Linked DNA regions of Saccharomyces cerevisiae S288C. The gene in region 2 interacts genetically with the main gene of each other region. Each region holds a gene or a part of one and is shown on either strand. Other genes may lie near its edges.

What was found. A genetic interaction does not mean that the proteins touch.
Region 1: mutations in NUM1 (region 2) and KAR9 impair growth when combined (synthetic growth defect), as found in Saccharomyces cerevisiae (12 studies listed by BioGRID, with this or other methods).
Region 3: mutations in NUM1 (region 2) and BFA1 together harm fitness more than expected from each alone (negative genetic interaction), as found in Saccharomyces cerevisiae (5 studies listed by BioGRID, with this or other methods).

The regions. Positions count from the first base shown.
Region 1 is NC_001148.4:30,951-36,669, forward strand, and holds KAR9 (Kar9p), read left to right. Parts: upstream 1-2,062; coding exon 2,063-3,997; downstream 3,998-5,719. Other genes in the region: ATP-binding cassette permease MDL2, read left to right, coding at 1-1,853; PLC1 (phosphatidylinositol phospholipase C), read left to right, coding at 4,286-5,719. UniProt on the Saccharomyces cerevisiae protein: Involved in karyogamy. Component of a cortical adaptor complex that orients cytoplasmic microtubules. It may be involved in anchoring cytoplasmic microtubules to the cell cortex.
Region 2 is NC_001136.10:753,749-761,096, reverse strand, and holds the start of NUM1 (Num1p), read right to left. Parts: upstream 5,470-7,348; coding exon 1-5,469. Other genes in the region: KGD2 (dihydrolipoyl transsuccinylase), read left to right, coding at 6,031-7,348. UniProt on the Saccharomyces cerevisiae protein: Controls nuclear migration. NUM1 specifically controls the interaction of the bud neck cytoskeleton with the pre-divisional G2 nucleus. Functions in dynein-anchoring.
Region 3 is NC_001142.9:532,021-537,473, reverse strand, and holds BFA1 (Bfa1p), read right to left. Parts: upstream 3,448-5,453; coding exon 1,723-3,447; downstream 1-1,722. Other genes in the region: KCH1 (Kch1p), read right to left, coding at 1-1,418; UV-damaged DNA-binding protein RAD7, read right to left, coding at 3,715-5,412. UniProt on the Saccharomyces cerevisiae protein: Part of a checkpoint which monitors spindle integrity and prevents premature exit from mitosis. This cell-cycle arrest depends upon inhibition of the G-protein TEM1 by the BFA1/BUB2 complex.

The DNA.
Region 1 (5,719 bases), on a different chromosome or scaffold from region 2:
ATTTGAAGATACCGATTTTTTCTTTGCCTTTATATGAGTTTCTTTCCTTTTTTACTGTTGCTTTACTGATTGGTTGTGCTGCTAATTTTGGTAGATTTATATTATTGAGGATACTAAGTGAGCGTGTTGTTGCACGCCTAAGGGCAAATGTCATTAAAAAAACGCTTCATCAAGACGCAGAATTCTTCGACAACCATAAAGTTGGGGATTTAATTTCTCGTTTAGGATCTGATGCTTATGTTGTTTCAAGATCAATGACCCAGAAGGTCTCGGATGGGGTCAAAGCCCTAATTTGTGGGGTTGTTGGCGTGGGGATGATGTGTTCTTTGTCACCTCAACTATCAATATTGTTACTATTCTTCACTCCACCTGTTCTTTTTAGTGCCTCAGTGTTCGGGAAGCAAATTAGAAACACCTCTAAAGACCTTCAAGAAGCTACTGGTCAATTGACTAGAGTCGCTGAAGAACAACTCTCTGGTATCAAGACGGTTCAGTCGTTTGTTGCTGAAGGTAATGAATTGTCTAGGTATAACGTTGCAATTAGAGATATTTTTCAGGTGGGAAAAACTGCGGCATTTACAAACGCAAAGTTTTTTACTACAACTAGTCTCTTAGGTGACCTAAGTTTTTTAACCGTCCTTGCGTATGGCTCCTATCTTGTTTTACAATCACAGCTCTCCATTGGTGATCTGACTGCATTTATGCTGTACACAGAATATACGGGGAATGCGGTATTCGGCCTTTCTACCTTCTATTCGGAAATTATGCAGGGTGCTGGGGCCGCTTCCAGGTTGTTTGAATTAACAGATAGGAAACCTTCCATTTCACCGACTGTGGGACACAAGTATAAACCAGATCGTGGTGTTATCGAATTTAAAGATGTTTCATTTAGCTACCCTACAAGGCCTTCTGTTCAAATATTCAAGAATTTAAATTTTAAAATTGCGCCAGGATCGAGTGTTTGTATTGTGGGCCCTTCAGGTCGTGGTAAATCTACAATTGCACTCTTACTGCTAAGATATTATAATCCCACTACTGGGACTATTACGATAGATAACCAAGATATCTCTAAATTGAATTGTAAATCCCTAAGAAGGCATATTGGTATCGTTCAGCAAGAGCCGGTACTGATGTCAGGTACTATTAGGGATAATATCACTTATGGGTTGACATATACCCCAACAAAGGAAGAAATCAGGTCAGTAGCAAAGCAGTGCTTTTGCCATAACTTTATCACAAAATTTCCGAACACATACGATACGGTAATTGGTCCTCACGGCACCTTACTAAGTGGAGGACAAAAGCAGCGTATTGCGATTGCAAGGGCTCTAATCAAAAAGCCAACTATTTTGATTCTTGATGAAGCTACATCAGCTTTAGATGTTGAAAGTGAAGGAGCCATTAACTATACGTTTGGTCAACTAATGAAATCAAAATCGATGACTATTGTTAGCATCGCGCACAGGCTAAGTACGATCAGAAGATCAGAGAATGTTATTGTCCTTGGCCATGATGGATCAGTGGTAGAAATGGGCAAATTCAAAGAATTGTATGCGAATCCAACAAGTGCTTTATCGCAATTACTTAATGAGAAAGCGGCTCCTGGGCCATCTGACCAACAACTGCAAATAGAGAAGGTCATCGAAAAGGAAGATTTGAATGAGAGTAAGGAGCATGATGACCAGAAAAAGGACGATAATGACGATAATGATAATAATCATGATAACGACAGCAATAACCAGTCTCCAGAGACGAAAGACAATAATTCAGATGATATTGAAAAATCTGTCGAACATCTCCTGAAAGACGCGGCAAAGGAGGCTAATCCAATTAAGATCACACCACAACCGTGAGTCATCCGCATCGCATATACCCATTCTTATCTCGCACATTTAAATATATACTATATATAATACTGTTAAATGCCAAATAAAAAGGATTTTCATTACCCGAATCGATACTTTTGGTAGCATAAACAAATAACATTGAAACAATAACAAAGTGTAATGTGGCCGCACGAATCTTTGTCTGTAACAGCCTTAAAGATTTCAGTAGCACTGCCATGGATAATGATGGACCCAGATCTATGACCATTGGGGATGACTTCCAAGAGAACTTTTGTGAACGTTTAGAAAGAATTCACAATACATTACATTCAATAAACGATTGCAACTCATTGAATGAGAGTACCACAAGTATATCAGAGACATTGTTAGTTCAATTTTATGATGATTTGGAGAACGTTGCCTCGGTAATTCCCGACTTAGTCAACAAGAAAAGACTGGGAAAAGACGATATTTTGTTGTTTATGGACTGGTTATTATTGAAAAAATATATGCTATATCAATTTATTAGTGACGTTCATAATATTGAGGAAGGTTTTGCTCATTTGTTGGATTTACTAGAGGATGAATTCTCGAAGGACGATCAGGATAGCGACAAATACAATCGATTTAGCCCGATGTTTGACGTCATAGAAGAATCTACACAAATTAAGACTCAGTTGGAGCCATGGCTTACTAACTTGAAGGAATTATTGGATACGTCATTGGAATTTAACGAAATTTCAAAGGATCATATGGATACATTACATAAAATCATTAATAGCAATATATCGTATTGTCTGGAAATTCAGGAAGAAAGGTTCGCGTCCCCGATACGGCATACTCCATCATTTACCCTAGAACAACTAGTCAAGTTATTAGGAACGCATACGGAGACAACTGAGCCAAAGGTACCAAAATTTTCTCCGGCAGAAGATATTTTATCAAGAAAGTTCTTGAACCTAAAAAAAAATATCCCTCCAATTGAAAAAAGTTTGACTGATATCCTACCTCAAAGAATTGTGCAATTTGGGCACCGGAATATAACAAACATAACTACTTTGCAAACAATCTTGCAAAAAAAATACGAGCTGATAATGAAAGATTATAGATTTATGAATTCAGAGTTTAGGGAATTGAAAGTCGAACTAATCGACAAACGTTGGAATATACTCTTTATTAATTTAAATCATGAACTATTATACATTCTTGATGAGATAGAAAGGTTGCAGTCGAAATTACTGACAACAAAGTATACCAAAGATATCACTATAAGGCTCGAGAGGCAATTGGAGAGAAAATCAAAAACTGTTTCTAAGACATTCAATATTATTTACAGAGCATTGGAATTCTCACTTTTGGACGCTGGCGTCGCATCGAAGACAAATGAATTAGCTCAAAGATGGCTGAATATCAAGCCTACAGCGGATAAAATTCTAATCAAATCCTCCGCTTCAAACAAAATAGCTACTAGCAAGAAGAAGATTCCAAAACCGAAATCATTAGGCTTTGGGCGACCGAATAGTGTTATTGGAACTATAACCCAGGATTTCCAGGAGAGAGTCGCCATTAATGAAGGTGACAGTAATAAAACACCGGAAAATTCAACTACAGTGGCTTTGAAAGGTAAAAAGCTTGGTAAAGCGTTACTGCAGAAGATGAATATTAAACCTGCAACAAGCCCAAATTCATCAAATGCGATTAATCCATTTTTTGATCCGGAGTCGCCAAACAAAGGAAAACTGATACTAAGTAGTGTTCCTCCCTTACCTTATGACGAAACCGATGAAACCACCCTCCGTGTTTCTCGTGGGGAAAATGAAAAGTCACCAGACTCCTTCATTACATCTCGGCATGAAAATAAAGTACAGATTACAGAAACTCCTTTGATGGCAAAGAATAAGTCTGTGCTTGACATCGAAAAAGATAAATGGAATCATTACCGGTCCTTGCCCTCTAGGATCCCTATATACAAGGATAAAGTGGTGAAAGTCACCGTAGAAAACACACCGATAGCAAAGGTTTTCCAGACTCCGCCAACAAAAATCACGACACCTAATAGTCAAGTTTGGGTCCCTTCGACAAGAAGAAGAACCCGATTGAGGCCTCCCACCCCCTTATCACAGTTACTTTCACCAAGAGAAGGGCGTTTAGATAAAACCCCAACTTATTGATACTAACCTAAAACTGTATACTTATACATTTTTATATATCCTCCCTCTCACCCTCTCCATTCATAGAATTTGTAATACTAGTTTAAATAATGTAATATTATGTGTAATTTTAAATAGTCCATGAAGATTCCGCACGTTTTCATTTTACAGTTTTTGACACCTTTACCCGACGCTTTATAAAAAAAATAGTATAAGCATCACGACATAAGCAGCCTCAGGTCATTAAAACAATAAAAGACTGGGAATTATAAACGTACAACGGTAAGGTCATTCACGCAGTGTATATGAATGACTGAAAGTGCTATAGATGACCAAAGGTTTAATCTTACAAAGGAGTTACAACGACACTCATGCAGAGATCAAGGGAAAATAACACAAAAGGATGATGCTTTAGATTTTATAAGTTACAGTTCTTTTCAATCCTCTTTTAATACTGACCAAAAAAGCGCGAACAATGGAAGTACTGTGAGAAGAAGCATAAGGTCGATTTTTAGAAGAGCAGCCGAATTGCCTAGAGTCCATATGGGGCCTCTTACTTATTCACATGGGATAAATGAGCTTGTTAACAAGAAATTAAGAAAAGACTGTGATCTCAGCACGCTATGTCGCGTATTGCAAAGAGGAATCAGGATGATTAGGATGACAAGAAGAAGAAGGAAGTTCTATGAATTTAAATTAATCAATAACAACGGGCAAATAATATGGAAAGATGGTTCGAAGTATCTGGAATTAGACTCCGTTAAAGACATCAGAATCGGTGATACGGCGAGTACTTATCAAGAGGAAGTAGATCCGAAAAGATTGAGATCGGACAGTAAACTTTGGATTGCTATTATTTATAAGGTTTCCAACAAATTGAAAGCGTTACACGTAGTTGCTTTGAATGAATTGGACTTTAACACATTCTTAAGCTGCATTTGCGGTTTAGTGAAGTTAAGGAGGGAATTAATGGAAAGCATACTTTTGCCTGATAATTCGCAATTCGCTAGGATACATTGGCAAATTACTGTTTCTGAAAAAGAGGAAGATGAGAAAAAGGACACATTGAGCTTTGCAGATGTGAAGAAACTATGTGATAAATTTCATATTTATGTGTCAACTGGTCAATTGTTAGAGTTTTTCCAATTAGCAGACATCAATCATAACGGACTATTAAATTATTTTGAATTTGAAAAGTTCATTAAAATCTTAAAGAATAGGAAAGAGGTAAATATGATTTGGTCTAAATTTACAAAACCTCCACACTCCCACTTATCATTTGAAAATTTTTTTCAATTTTTAATTACAGAGCAGCATGAGCAAGTGGATCGTCAAACTGCATGGTCATATTTTATTAAGTACAGAGAACCGACTCAGCTGACGATGGGGCAAGATGGTTTTACCAAGTTCTTGAAGGAGCAACCATATTTGGTGGAGGTTAAAGAGGAGTTATATTCAAAGCCATTAAACCATTATTTTATTGCATCTTCACATAATACTTATTTATTGGGGAAACAAATTGCAGAAACTCCATCTGTGGAGGGATATATTCAAGTCCTACAACAAGGTTGTAGGTGCGTAGAAATTGATATATGGGATGGTGAAAATGGGCCAGTGGTATGCCATGGATTTTTAACGTCAGCTATTCCCTTAAAAACAGTTATACGCGTGATAAAGAAGTACGCTTTTATAACGTCTCCGTATCCTTTGATTATTTCACTGGAAATAAACTGTAACAAGGAT
Region 2 (7,348 bases):
ATTTTCCAAAGGTTCTCTTAGAGTTGAGTACTCGTTTTGGTCGAGCAAAACCAAGTTCAAGTGATGACAGGATTCCTCTAGCTCCATCCGAGTGGGATGATTGCATTTTCTTATAGTTTCATCATACTCGATTTGGTCAACAAGTATTTTGTTCATTCCAGCAGCCTTTTCGATTAAAAATGTTAAAGAGGGATATTCTATTTTCTTTTGCAATGCTTCCTTCTCCTCGTTCCTCAACAACACCATTTCATTGCGGGCAGCCTTTTCTTGCATGTAGTCAATATCTGGTGAATCAATCATTTGTTTCATGCGATCCAGCTCAACCTCGCTAACTAATTCATATCCCAGTGCTGATGCTTTTTCTAAAATAAATTCGTAGCCTGGATTTTCAATGGCTTCTTGCTTTTCTTCGTAATCATGTTTACTAATTATGAGCATTTGATATTTTTCACATTTTTCCTTCAGGAAATCAATAGATGGATCACCGAGAATATTTAAGATTTTAGTGTGTTCCTTTCTCATATTATCATATTCTTCAGTAGACAATGGTACTAAACTGAATTTCGAACATAGGTTCAAGACATCATTTTTGGAGGCATTGTCAACAATTGGTTTCTCTAGGTTTGGCAGGTTTTCTTTACGAATTGCGACGTAGCCTAAGGCCTTTAACTCATTTTCAATATCAGATAAAGTTCTTTTTTGTAGTGATGACTTCTCTGCAGAAGCAAGCTGTGGGGCAGGCATTGTAACGAAATCAAGTGCCTTGGTTGAAGGAATAAGTGATTTCTTGTTGCTTGCATTATCTTTCATTGCTTGGTACTCCGTTTTGTCCACTAGCACAAGATCAAGTAATGCGGCATTTTCTTCTATAAATTTCTTGGAGGGATTCTCCAGAGAATTTTTTAGTCTTTCATATTCTTTAGAGTCCAAAGCGTAACACCCAATTTGTTTGCAGAAGTTATCAATCTCTTCTTTAGAAGGTGTAGTGGCTATCCTATTCAAGTCAAGGTATTCATTAGGTTCTATTAATCTATAACCTTTGCTTTTGGCTTTCTCTTCAATAAACTTCAACGTAGGAGAATTGAAATTGCTGACTAGCTCATTGTACGTTGTTGTATCAATTATATGGTAACCTTTCAACTTGGATCTTAGTAACTCAACGTCCGGCTTTTCCATCGTATTTTTCAATGCAATGTACTCATCGTTCGAAACAATCTGGTATTCTAACTTTTGCAATTTTGAAGCCATATCTTCCATAGATGGATTAGCTAAGGTGTTGAAGTCCGAGATCGATATAATTTTTGATTGTATTTGTTCGGCATGTTTGACTAAGTATTCCAGTGATGGTTGTTCTAGTTTCTTTTCCAATTCAGAATATTCCTTGTTGGATACCACAGTATGGCCCAGTTTAGCAGACTTCTCCTTCAAGAATTCCATATCAGGATTCTCCTTGCACTTGACTAGGTCTTCGTATGCACTATCCGATAGCAGATGGTGATTGGTGGCCTTGGCATGTTCAACTAGGTATTCCAGTGATGGTTGTTCTAGTTTCTTTTCCAATTCAGAATATGCCTCGTTGGATACCACAGTGTGGCCTAGTTTGGCAGACTTCTCCTTCAAGAATTCCATATCAGGATTCTCCTTGCACTTGACTAGGTCTTCGTATGCACTATCCGATAGCAGATGGTGATCGGTAGCCTTGGCATGTTCGACTAGGTATGCTAGTGATGGTTGTTCTAGTTTCTTTTCCAATTCAGAATATGCTTCGTTGGATACCACAGTATGGCCTAGTTTAGCAGACTTCTCCTTCAAGAATTCTACATCAGGATTTTCCTTGCACTTGACTAGGTCTTCGTATGCACTATCCGATAGCAGATGGTGATCGGTAGCCTTGGCATGTTCGACTAGGTATGCTAGTGATGGTTGTTCTAGTTTCTTTTCCAATTCAGAATATGCTTCGTTGGATACCACAGTATGGCCTAGTTTAGCAGACTTCTCCTTCAAGAATTCTACATCAGGATTTTCCTTGCACTTGACTAGTTCTTCGTATGCACTATCCGATAGCAGATGGTGATTGGTGGCCTTGGCATGTTCAACTAGGTATTCCAGTGATGGTTGTTCTAGTTTCTTTTCCAATTCAGAATATGCTTCGTTGGATACCACAGTATGGCCTAGTTTAGCAGACTTCTCCTTCAAGAATTCTACATCAGGATTTTCCTTGCACTTGACTAGTTCTTCGTATGCACTATCCGATAGCAGATGGTGATTGGTGGCCTTGGCATGTTCAACTAGGTATTCCAGTGATGGTTGTTCTAGTTTCTTTTCCAATTCAGAATATGCCTCGTTGGATACCACAGTGTGGCCTAGTTTGGCAGACTTCTCCTTCAAGAATTCCATATCAGGATTCTCCTTGCACTTGACTAGGTCTTCGTATGCACTATCCGATAGTAAATGGTGATTGGTGGCCTTGGCATGTTCAACTAGGTATTCCAGTGATGGTTGTTCTAGTTTCTTTTCCAATTCAGAATATGCCTCGTTGGATACCACAGTGTGGCCTAGTTTGGCAGACTTCTCCTTCAAGAATTCCATATCAGGATTCTCCTTGCACTTGACTAGGTCTTCGTATGCACTATCCGATAGCAGATGGTGATCGGTAGCCTTGGCATGTTCGACTAGGTATGCTAGTGATGGTTGTTCTAGTTTCTTTTCCAATTCAGAATATGCTTCGTTGGATACCACAGTATGGCCTAGTTTAGCAGACTTCTCCTTCAAGAATTCTACATCAGAATTTTCCTTGCACTTGACTAGGTCTTCGTATGCACTATCCGATAGCAGATGGTGATCGGTAGCCTTGGCATGTTCGACTAGGTATGCTAGTGATGGTTGTTCTAGTTTCTTTTCCAATTCAGAATATGCCTCGTTGGATACCACAGTGTGGCCTAGTTTGGCAGACTTCTCCTTCAAGAATTCCATATCAGGATTCTCCTTGCACTTGACTAGTTCTTCGTATGCACTATCCGATAGTAAATGGTGATCGGTAGCCTTGGCGTGTTCGACTAGGTATGCTAGTGATGGTTGTTCTACTTCCTTCTCCAATTCTGAGTATTTGCGTTGCAATTCAGAATATTCCTCGCTAGATACCACAGTATGGCCTAGTTTAGCAGACTTCTCCTTCAAGAATTCCACATCAGGATTCTCCTTGCACTTGACTAGGTCTTCGTATGCACTATCCGATAGTAAATGGTGATCGGTAGCCTTGGCGTGTTCAACTAAGTATGCTAGAGATGGTTGTTCTACTTCCTTCTCCAATTCTGAGTATTTGCGTTGCAATTCAGAATATGCCTCGTTGGATACCACAGTATGGCCTAGTTTGGCAGACTTCTCCTTCAAGAATTCCATATCAGGATTCTCCTTGCACTTGACTAGGTCTTCGTATGCACTATCCGATAGTAAATGGTGATTGGTCGCCTTGGCATGTTCAACTAGGTATTCCAGTGATGGTTGTTCTAGTTTCTTTTCCAATTCAGAATATGCCTCGTTGGATACCACAGTGTGGCCTAGTTTGGCAGACTTCTCCTTCAAGAATTCCATATCAGGATTCTCCTTGCACTTGACTAGGTCTTCGTATGCACTATCCGATAGTAAATGGTGATTGGTGGCCTTGGCATGTTCAACTAGGTATTCCAGTGATGGGCTCACGTAGTCTTCTTTTTTGAGTAATAAATAATCTGATGCAGAAGCTTTTTCTCTTAGAAAGTCTATCGTTGGGTTCTTTAAACCTTCTAAGGCTTTAGTATCAATCAGCACTTGGTCGTATTCTTTTGCCTTATCTGACAGGTATTGTTTCGAAGGTGTTTCTATCTTATTAACCATTGAAAAATACAGATCATTACTTAGCCATTTACAGCCGTTTCTCTCCTCCAGCCATTTACAAATATTCGATTGTAAGTCGTTCTTTGCTTCCAGGCATTTTTTCATTTGTTCAATTGATGGATTCTTGACACTCTCAAAAAGGTCATTATAATCTTTGGTAGGTATTATCAGGCAATCAATTTTGGATGTTAAAGGCAGTAAAAAATCAATAGTAGGCTCTTTTAACAAGTTAAACGTACTTTGATCGATGGGTATCTTTTTCAAAGCCTGAAGTTTTTCCTTGAGATAGTTATATGATGGATTTGATAGGGATTCGTTTAGGTTCTCAAACTCCTCTAGAGGAAGAACTTTATAGCCAGAAGCTTCTAAATATTTAATATGAGATTCTAACGAAAACTCTTTTTTGCTGTAATTGTCATCATTTGGTAACGCGATCATATTCAGGTTTTCAGCCACCTCTTTGGTCATTAATTCATCGTCTTTTGGTTTGGATGCACTTTCACTTTTTTGTAGTAAGTTTTTATATGAATCATTCGATAACAATATCATATTGTTTTTTTCTGAGTATTTCTTGACAAGATCTTCAGAAATGTCCTCGACAGAGGGGCCTGTTTCAATCATGTGGTCAATTTCGATCACTATATCAAAAATGTCTTCTTCACTAGTGGTCCCCTCAGAATCAGGATCAGATGTTACTGTAGTATCGGAAGTATGCTGTTTTTGATAATACTTCTTTTGTACTTTTCTTTTTAACGAAGAAATAGATGCTTTGGCGTCATCAAGTTGCTTTTGAATTTTTATTCTTTCAGTTCTATTGCTCTGTAAGGAATTAATTTCACTTGTTAGATCAGAAACACTAATAAGTAATCTGTCGTTTTCATTATTTAAGTCTAAAATCCTTTCCTTTAATTCACTAATCTCTTTATCGTAATGAAGTTTTTGAGAGCTAAGATCATTTTCCATGCCATTTTTTGTTAATGTTAAAATTTCCAAATCTGTTTTCAGAAGTTTCAGGCTTTCTTTTTCATCATTCCAAGATTTTTCAGTCTTTTTCTTCAATTCTTTTAATTGCCTACATTCCATGCTCAAGTTTGTTAATTTAGATTCTAAATCCCAGTTTAAATCTTTAGTTGAATCCAACTCTTTCATGAAGGACTTTTTTTGGTTAGTGAGCTCCTCAATCTTGTCACTTAATGACTCTTTAATTTGCTTGAGAGACTTGATTTGCTCATTTTTAGCTTCATTAGAGGATTGCAATTTCCTACACTCAACCAACAAATTCTCGCTTAGTTCCAAAGTAAAGTTCATATCCTTTGATGAATTCGCCGTGAGTACTCCATTGTGGGAACTACTGCCTGCAAATTCCGGAAGCACGTCTTTTGTCTCTCTTTTACTCAAAATACTTGAAATCGAAAACCGCTTTGTTTTATCTCCTTCATCACCACTGCCGCATTCATCAGCCTTTAAGTTAGCCATCCTTGTTACGCCGTTCGTTGAGACGCTTTCCTGGCTTAATGAATTGTCAATGCTATTTGCATACTGCCCTGCTGAGCTGTCTTTATCGTTATTCTTTTTATGCCTGTTGTTGTGGGACATATTCGAACGTCTCGTGGAAAGCCTTGACCGTTGCGTCTTTACTCGTCTCTATTCAACCCTGTGGTCCTATTAGAACCGATCTTTGTTCCATCGTCATTACTACTTCTTGTCTCTTCTCTCTTGGGGAATAATAAACAAAACAATTCCAGCCACCCGCATCTCCGTCAAAGACGATATTAACAACCCTTTTTTTGCAGCCAATCAAAACTAAGGTCCTGCCCGGAGTGAGCCAATAAAGCGGCCACAAATTACGCAGGAATCTATGGTTCCTAAAGCTTATTCTTATTCTACATTAGCACCATTCTACTACAGGGCTCGGATCCACACTTGGTCTATCAGCAAATGCAAATCCTTTTTCCCTCAACTAGGCCTACTTTTCATATATAATCTCTTTTTGAGCTTCAGGGGAGGAAATATCTAACGTAAAAAAAAGAAAAATCCGAAATAAAAAATTAGGCAGCTATCTTTAACGGTATATATCAGTGAATAGATATATTGTTATAAACTTCACTACCACATTTGTTACAACCAAAGACACAACTTCAGATAATTATTTAAACAATGCTTTCCAGAGCGACGCGTACTGCAGCTGCCAAATCCTTAGTAAAATCTAAAGTGGCTAGAAATGTTATGGCTGCTTCTTTCGTCAAGAGACATGCTTCTACAAGTTTGTTCAAACAAGCTAACAAGGTCGAATCCTTAGGTTCAATATATTTATCCGGCAAGAAAATTTCAGTTGCGGCGAATCCGTTCTCCATAACTAGCAATCGTTTTAAATCTACCTCTATTGAAGTTCCTCCGATGGCAGAGTCCCTGACTGAAGGCTCTTTAAAGGAATATACTAAAAACGTTGGTGATTTTATTAAGGAGGACGAGCTGTTGGCCACTATTGAGACCGATAAAATTGATATTGAGGTCAATTCGCCAGTATCAGGTACTGTTACGAAGCTAAATTTCAAACCAGAGGACACTGTCACTGTTGGTGAGGAGTTAGCTCAGGTCGAGCCTGGTGAAGCACCTGCTGAGGGTTCTGGAGAATCTAAGCCAGAGCCTACCGAACAAGCGGAGCCATCGCAAGGTGTCGCCGCAAGGGAAAACTCAAGTGAGGAAACGGCTTCAAAGAAAGAAGCTGCTCCAAAGAAAGAAGCCGCTCCAAAGAAAGAAGTTACAGAACCAAAAAAGGCTGATCAACCAAAGAAGACCGTCTCTAAGGCGCAGGAACCCCCAGTAGCCTCTAACTCTTTCACACCATTTCCACGTACAGAAACCAGGGTCAAAATGAACCGTATGAGATTGAGGATTGCCGAAAGATTAAAAGAGTCTCAAAACACTGCTGCTTCCTTAACCACATTCAACGAAGTTGACATGTCAGCTTTGATGGAAATGAGGAAACTGTATAAAGATGAGATTATTAAGAAGACCGGTACTAAATTCGGATTCATGGGTCTTTTCTCCAAAGCATGTACCTTGGCCGCCAAGGATATTCCAGCCGTCAATGGTGCCATTGAAGGTGACCAGATTGTTTATCGTGATTACACAGATATTTCTGTTGCTGTGGCCACTCCAAAGGGTTTGGTTACCCCCGTCGTTCGTAATGCAGAGTCATTGAGTGTTTTAGATATTGAGAACGAAATTGTTCGCTTGAGTCATAAAGCGCGTGATGGCAAATTAACCCTAGAAGATATGACGGGTGGTACTTTCACCATATCTAATGGTGGTGTTTTTGGTTCATTATACGGTACTCCTATCATCAATTCACCACAAACAGCCGTCCTAGGCTTGCATGGTGTCAAAGAGAGACCTGTCACTGTTAATGGACAAATTGTCTCAAGACCAATGATGTACTTGGCTTTGACTTATGATCATAGATTGCTAGATG
Region 3 (5,453 bases), on a different chromosome or scaffold from region 2:
TTCATTGGTGTATAAATCCTTCCATTATCATTCGAGTCAGCTTTTGAATTAATCGAACTTTTTGTCTGTAAAGGAGGTGGTCTAGGTCTACTACTGTTGCTATTAAAATTACGGATGTTGTTTGTTGTATTTGGCATAGAATCTAATGGCCCGTGAAACTCCATAGAAGTTGTAGATTTTAATTGTCCAGCAGAGTGTATTTTGTTGAAAATGTCAGAAGAAGACAAATCCTCATATTTTGGAGTATTTACGCTTCTGCTTTGTATTTTTGCTTTCTTTATATCATTACTTTCATAGCTGTTGATATATGGTGAATCTAGAATCGCAGAGAATCTAGTGGTATATTGTGGATTGCCATTGTCAACGAACGATTCCATTGTTTCCGTTTTCTTCATTGTGGGAATGGGCCCACATACATCCTGACTTTTGTATTCGGGTCTTCTCTCTATTAGCTCAATCATAGAATCATTATTAGAAGCATATGACGTATCATTAAAAGATGTTTCAATTTTATTTTCAACTTCTTTAAAATCGTCAAAAGTCTGAGATTCGAGAAGACCTGTCTTATAAATCGTGTCATCATTTTCCTTTTTCCTTTGTCTTTCAACAAGTTCATCAACATTTTCGCTGACGGTAACACAAATGTACTCACGCAACCCGCTATATTCCTGATCATTGATTATTTTATAATAAACAAAAATCGAGCAAATGACAGCAAGCAGAAACTTGAAGACAAATAATGCCCAGATTATAAAGGAAAATAGCATCAGCGACAATATCACTGCTTCTTCATGATTGGTCTGGCCAATGTTCTTTATTTTGTTGATCAAACCGGTAAATGATTCCAGATCGCCTAGATCCTCGTTTTTATTTACTGTTACGAGAACTGACCACAGCGTAAGACCATTAATAACTTGCCTTGGGGTATCCGTGAAGATTAATCTAATACAATCTTTCAGTTGAAAAAAAGTAAAAAATGTCATTTTCTGTCGAAAACCCTTTCGTTCGATCATATTATAAACACAAAACTTGGAATAATTGAGCACTGAATTTAGGTTTCTGGAAAAATTGTTGACATAAGTCAAAGAGATATTTCCCGTTTTGTAAATCCTCATTCCCGCTATAGCCTCCCATATCAATAGCACAATCGATGCTAAAATACAACCGCTAAACAACCATTTGGATATTTTAAAGGGTAAGTATGGTTTGATGATGTTGTTTGACCAGGAGTTGAATGCCAGCAATTTGATACATGTGTAAATGTCAGAAACAAAAAGGGCGAGTTTTAATCCATTCCACCCAACTACACCTATTATGTAATTTAAAACAGTTTTGAACTTGTGGTTTCGAAATAATTCAATGTTTAAATCGGCGAAAGTCTTAGAATTAATGGAGTACTTCCAATCATGGTTAAACATTTTTGATTTTCTGTTCCTGCTAGTCAAATATTCATGAAATTACCAAAGTGTTTGCTAAACAAACCATAAAGATCTGTTTTAATAATCATCAAGGGCTCTTTTGTTTGAAATGTTAATGTGTCCCTCATGGTCTATTTTCATTTGAAACATCTATTCGAATTTTCTGCAACATTTCTTTTTCTGTCAGACGCGAAATGTCGGCGAAAAGTTGACACGATTCAAGGTTCTATCTAATTTTGGAATGTAAGAGAAATGAATGTACTCAAGATAACGGTAAAGAAACAGTTATAAGAAGGCTAAAGGGCTAATCTTTTGTCGAATTGATTACCATGTTCCTGATTTCATACATATAGGATTTTCTCTTGCTATTGACCGTACTTTCATCCATGATTGTTTCCTCATCAACACTGATAATGGTCTCATCTCGGGGTATAAACCATGAGGCTAACTTTTTACACCACCTGTTCTCCTCGTGGTAAAATTTTTCCAATGCTCTTGAACTCAAATGGAAAGTAGAGCTTATTTCTGGAGTTTCTGTTGTACCGTTAAGTGTCCTCATTGAATGGTATTTACGGAGTCTTGCTTGAGCAGCCGTACTTTGATAAACGCCATCATTGTCATTTGAAACAAATGGCGTATTAACTTGGCTTTTGGAACGCAAAAATGGTGAGGAGCTACGTTTTTTCATACTTTTGCCAACTGGTGGTAAGTTTATCTCAGGAATGCCTGCAAAAGGGTCTGCTTCTTCCTCTGAAACACTAACCCATCTTAAATTTTGTTCATCTAAAATCATGTTCCCGATGACCTTTTGATTTCTCGAAGTGGCTCTTGCATGCTGTAGATCAGAATATTTTTGCTTCTTAGAATCTGCATCTCGTTGTAGCTTGTTTTTTATCAATAAAGCTTTCCTGTTTGCCGTGTCTACATCACTAAATTTGCTTAAGACGTTTTCATTTCCTTCCCACTTCATAGTTTTCGGGTTATATATCATAGAACCTTTCTTCATTGGAGTATTATGATCAATTTGCTGTTTTATTGTTTTGATTTTAGCTGGACCATTGAGTTGTACATTTTGATTAGAACAGTGTCTTACTGATCGTTTTTCTTTAAAAGAGTCCAGTTCCTGCTGGGTATTCCAATCTCGTTGTCGCCTATGAAGACCTGGAGTTAATAATTCGTCATGCTTTACTATATCATATTGTGCAGGTGATATTTTTAATGGCAAAGATGAGGATGACTTCTTTAAGAAACGCGGATGGTCGGCACTTTCTTTATCGTTCGAAGAAATCGTTTCATCAATTGCTTCACCCTCTAATTCTTCAAATCCTGTCAGAAAGTCACCTTCATCATCTGAACTGAATTTCGCCAAAATTGTGTCCTGCGTATCGTTATCAATCTTGTAATTAAACTCTCGTTGATCTTCTCTTTCTCGTTCTTCGTCCTCTTCTTCTTCTCTGATAGCTGGATTAACTAAAGCTAAGTTAGGCATAGATTTCTTAAATCTTACAGAATTACCAGACCTTAAGTTTCTTGAAGTGACGCTATTTGATAGTTTTCTTTTTGGTTTCAATTCCATCATTGATCTAGGTTGCTTTAGCCTTGGTTTATCTTCCAAACTCAGTTTTCTATCAAACTCTTCTGCGAAAATGTCGTTTTTGAAAGGGCCAGTTCGACATCCATTTCTCAAATGAAAATTTGTTTTAATAGCATCGTCAAAATCATCCTTTTTATTTTGGAATTCCTGGAAGTCATTTAGAAATTCATCATCCTGGTCTACCTCCATGTCCTGATCATCGTCTGCTTGCTTATTAGACCAAAACGCGCTGGTACTATTGGAAAATACCGTGCCAGTGTCAGAAGTACCTACCGAGGATGGAGGCGGTATATAAGTTGATGTACTCAATGGTGGCACGTTTTCTTCCAAAGTTAATGTTTCATGGGATTGAAAGCGAGGTAGAGTTGTATTCAGTTCTTCAAAAGAGGTTTCTGGCTCATCTAAACCGTTTAACGTGAGAGGCCTAATTGACATAGCATACAAAACTTTCAACTGCTACAAAAGTTTTCGAACTTTTTTCTTTACGTCAAACTTCTCGTTTTTTTCCTTTTATCTGCGCTGAATACATAAGTTTACACTTTTTTTTTTACTATTATTGTTTGTTTATTATTCGCGAGATGCCATAAAATCCCTTCAATAGAAAATAAAGGCAACATTTGACGATCTGAGTATAATAGGAATAAAAACATTAGTCAATTTTCCGTTTTCTATCTAATACACGTTTTATATGTCTTTATTTTATTATATACTGTCACTCTGTCTCCCTATCAACGTAAGTCCAGGCCTCATTGTGGCCTTTTCAGTAACCAAATTGTCTCCGAAAACATCAATTACAGTTAAATTCGGATTTTGCTCACCCAACATTTGAATCACCGAGTCATCAACACAACGTACAAAACCAAGATCAAGATACGTCAGATTAGGACAGGCTAACGCCACAAATGCCTCCTTAGTTAGCTCTTTTAATGAATTGAGATTTAAGCTTCTCAGACTATCTCTTGCTCCGTTAAGCAATAGCTCTATAATTGCCATATCGCCCAATTGTAGACATCTTCTAAAGCTGCATTCAATCAAATTATTCAGTTCTACTTTGCTGAAAAAGTACGACAGTGAATCTGTAGTGATCTGATCTGATTCTTCCAAGCTCAATACCTCCAATGGACATTTCTCAGGAATGAATGCAGTCAGACCATTGATTATCATTGAATCTGTCAAGTCAATACAGCCATTCAAAACCAATTTACGTAACGTGCGCCCGATTTGACCTAGCAGATTTATGATGATCTCATCGTTAACATCCTCTTCATTGAATGGATATTCAATACAGAGACTGTGAAATTCGTCGTTGACTAGGTACTGCGGTAATAAAGCGTAATTTGATATAGAATCTAGTCTGGATAACCCTAAGGATACCAAGGTAGAACCGCAGTTGATCAATAAATTAGATAATGATTTGTCGGTGAAGCGGTGCGTATTAGAAATGTGGAACTCTTCTAATCTACCTTTCATTATTACAAAGAACTTCTCCCATGTGTCCTCGTTGATCAGAAATGGTCCATCTAAATTCAGTGATTTCAAGTTCGGAAGCTTTTCAGCAATGTAAAGCAATGATTCATGGTTCAACTGCCCACACATTTGTAGGGATAATTCGGTTAGGTGTGGCGAAAAAATGGCTAGCGTTTTGTAACCATCAAATGAAATTTTAGAACAATCGCTGAAAGTTAACCTTTTTAGATCTGTCTTCAAGAAAAGTTGCAGAGTATGATCATTCAGGGCCCTATTCTTCGATAGTGCTTTTGCCAAATTATTCAAATTAGCGGTTGATACGCCACCAAGGACATCTCTCAATTTGTTAAATACCAACTTTGATGATTCATCAGCCTCTTTTTGCCACTTGGATATATTTTCACTAATTTTCGTAATACAAAGACTTTGTAAGCTGGATACTTTGTTGACGCGTCTATCCAATAGGTCAGCTGCTCTTTTACGCTTTCTGCGACGATTTTGGATAATTTTTGCAGTATTTTGCCTTTTTTTAGTCAATGATTCCCGGTCATTAGCCGAACTTAAACTGACTGGCGTGTCAGAAATGTGGCTAGTTTCATATTCTTCTTCATCACTATCAGCAGGGACTAATTTCATCCTGGCATCGTAGGAAACCTGAGCTCTTTCTGTCTCGGTACCACTACCTGTTCCAATTTCATCAATTTCTTCATCTTCAACTACTCGAGATATCTCGGCAGTAAAGCTATCATCCTCCGCTTTACCTTTTTTTTCGTCTGTTGCATCTTCTTGCTTCTTCGACTGTCGCTGGTACCATTTTTGTTTGATATTTTCAGCACTGATCCCTTCTTCTCTTAAAAATTGAGTCAAGGCAGAATTTGGTCCCTTAACTTCATTTTCTCCACCTCTTTTTGGTCGGTTTCTACTGCGATACATTTCTTCCCCTCTCGTGATTTCTAGATAATAGCTTATACAAA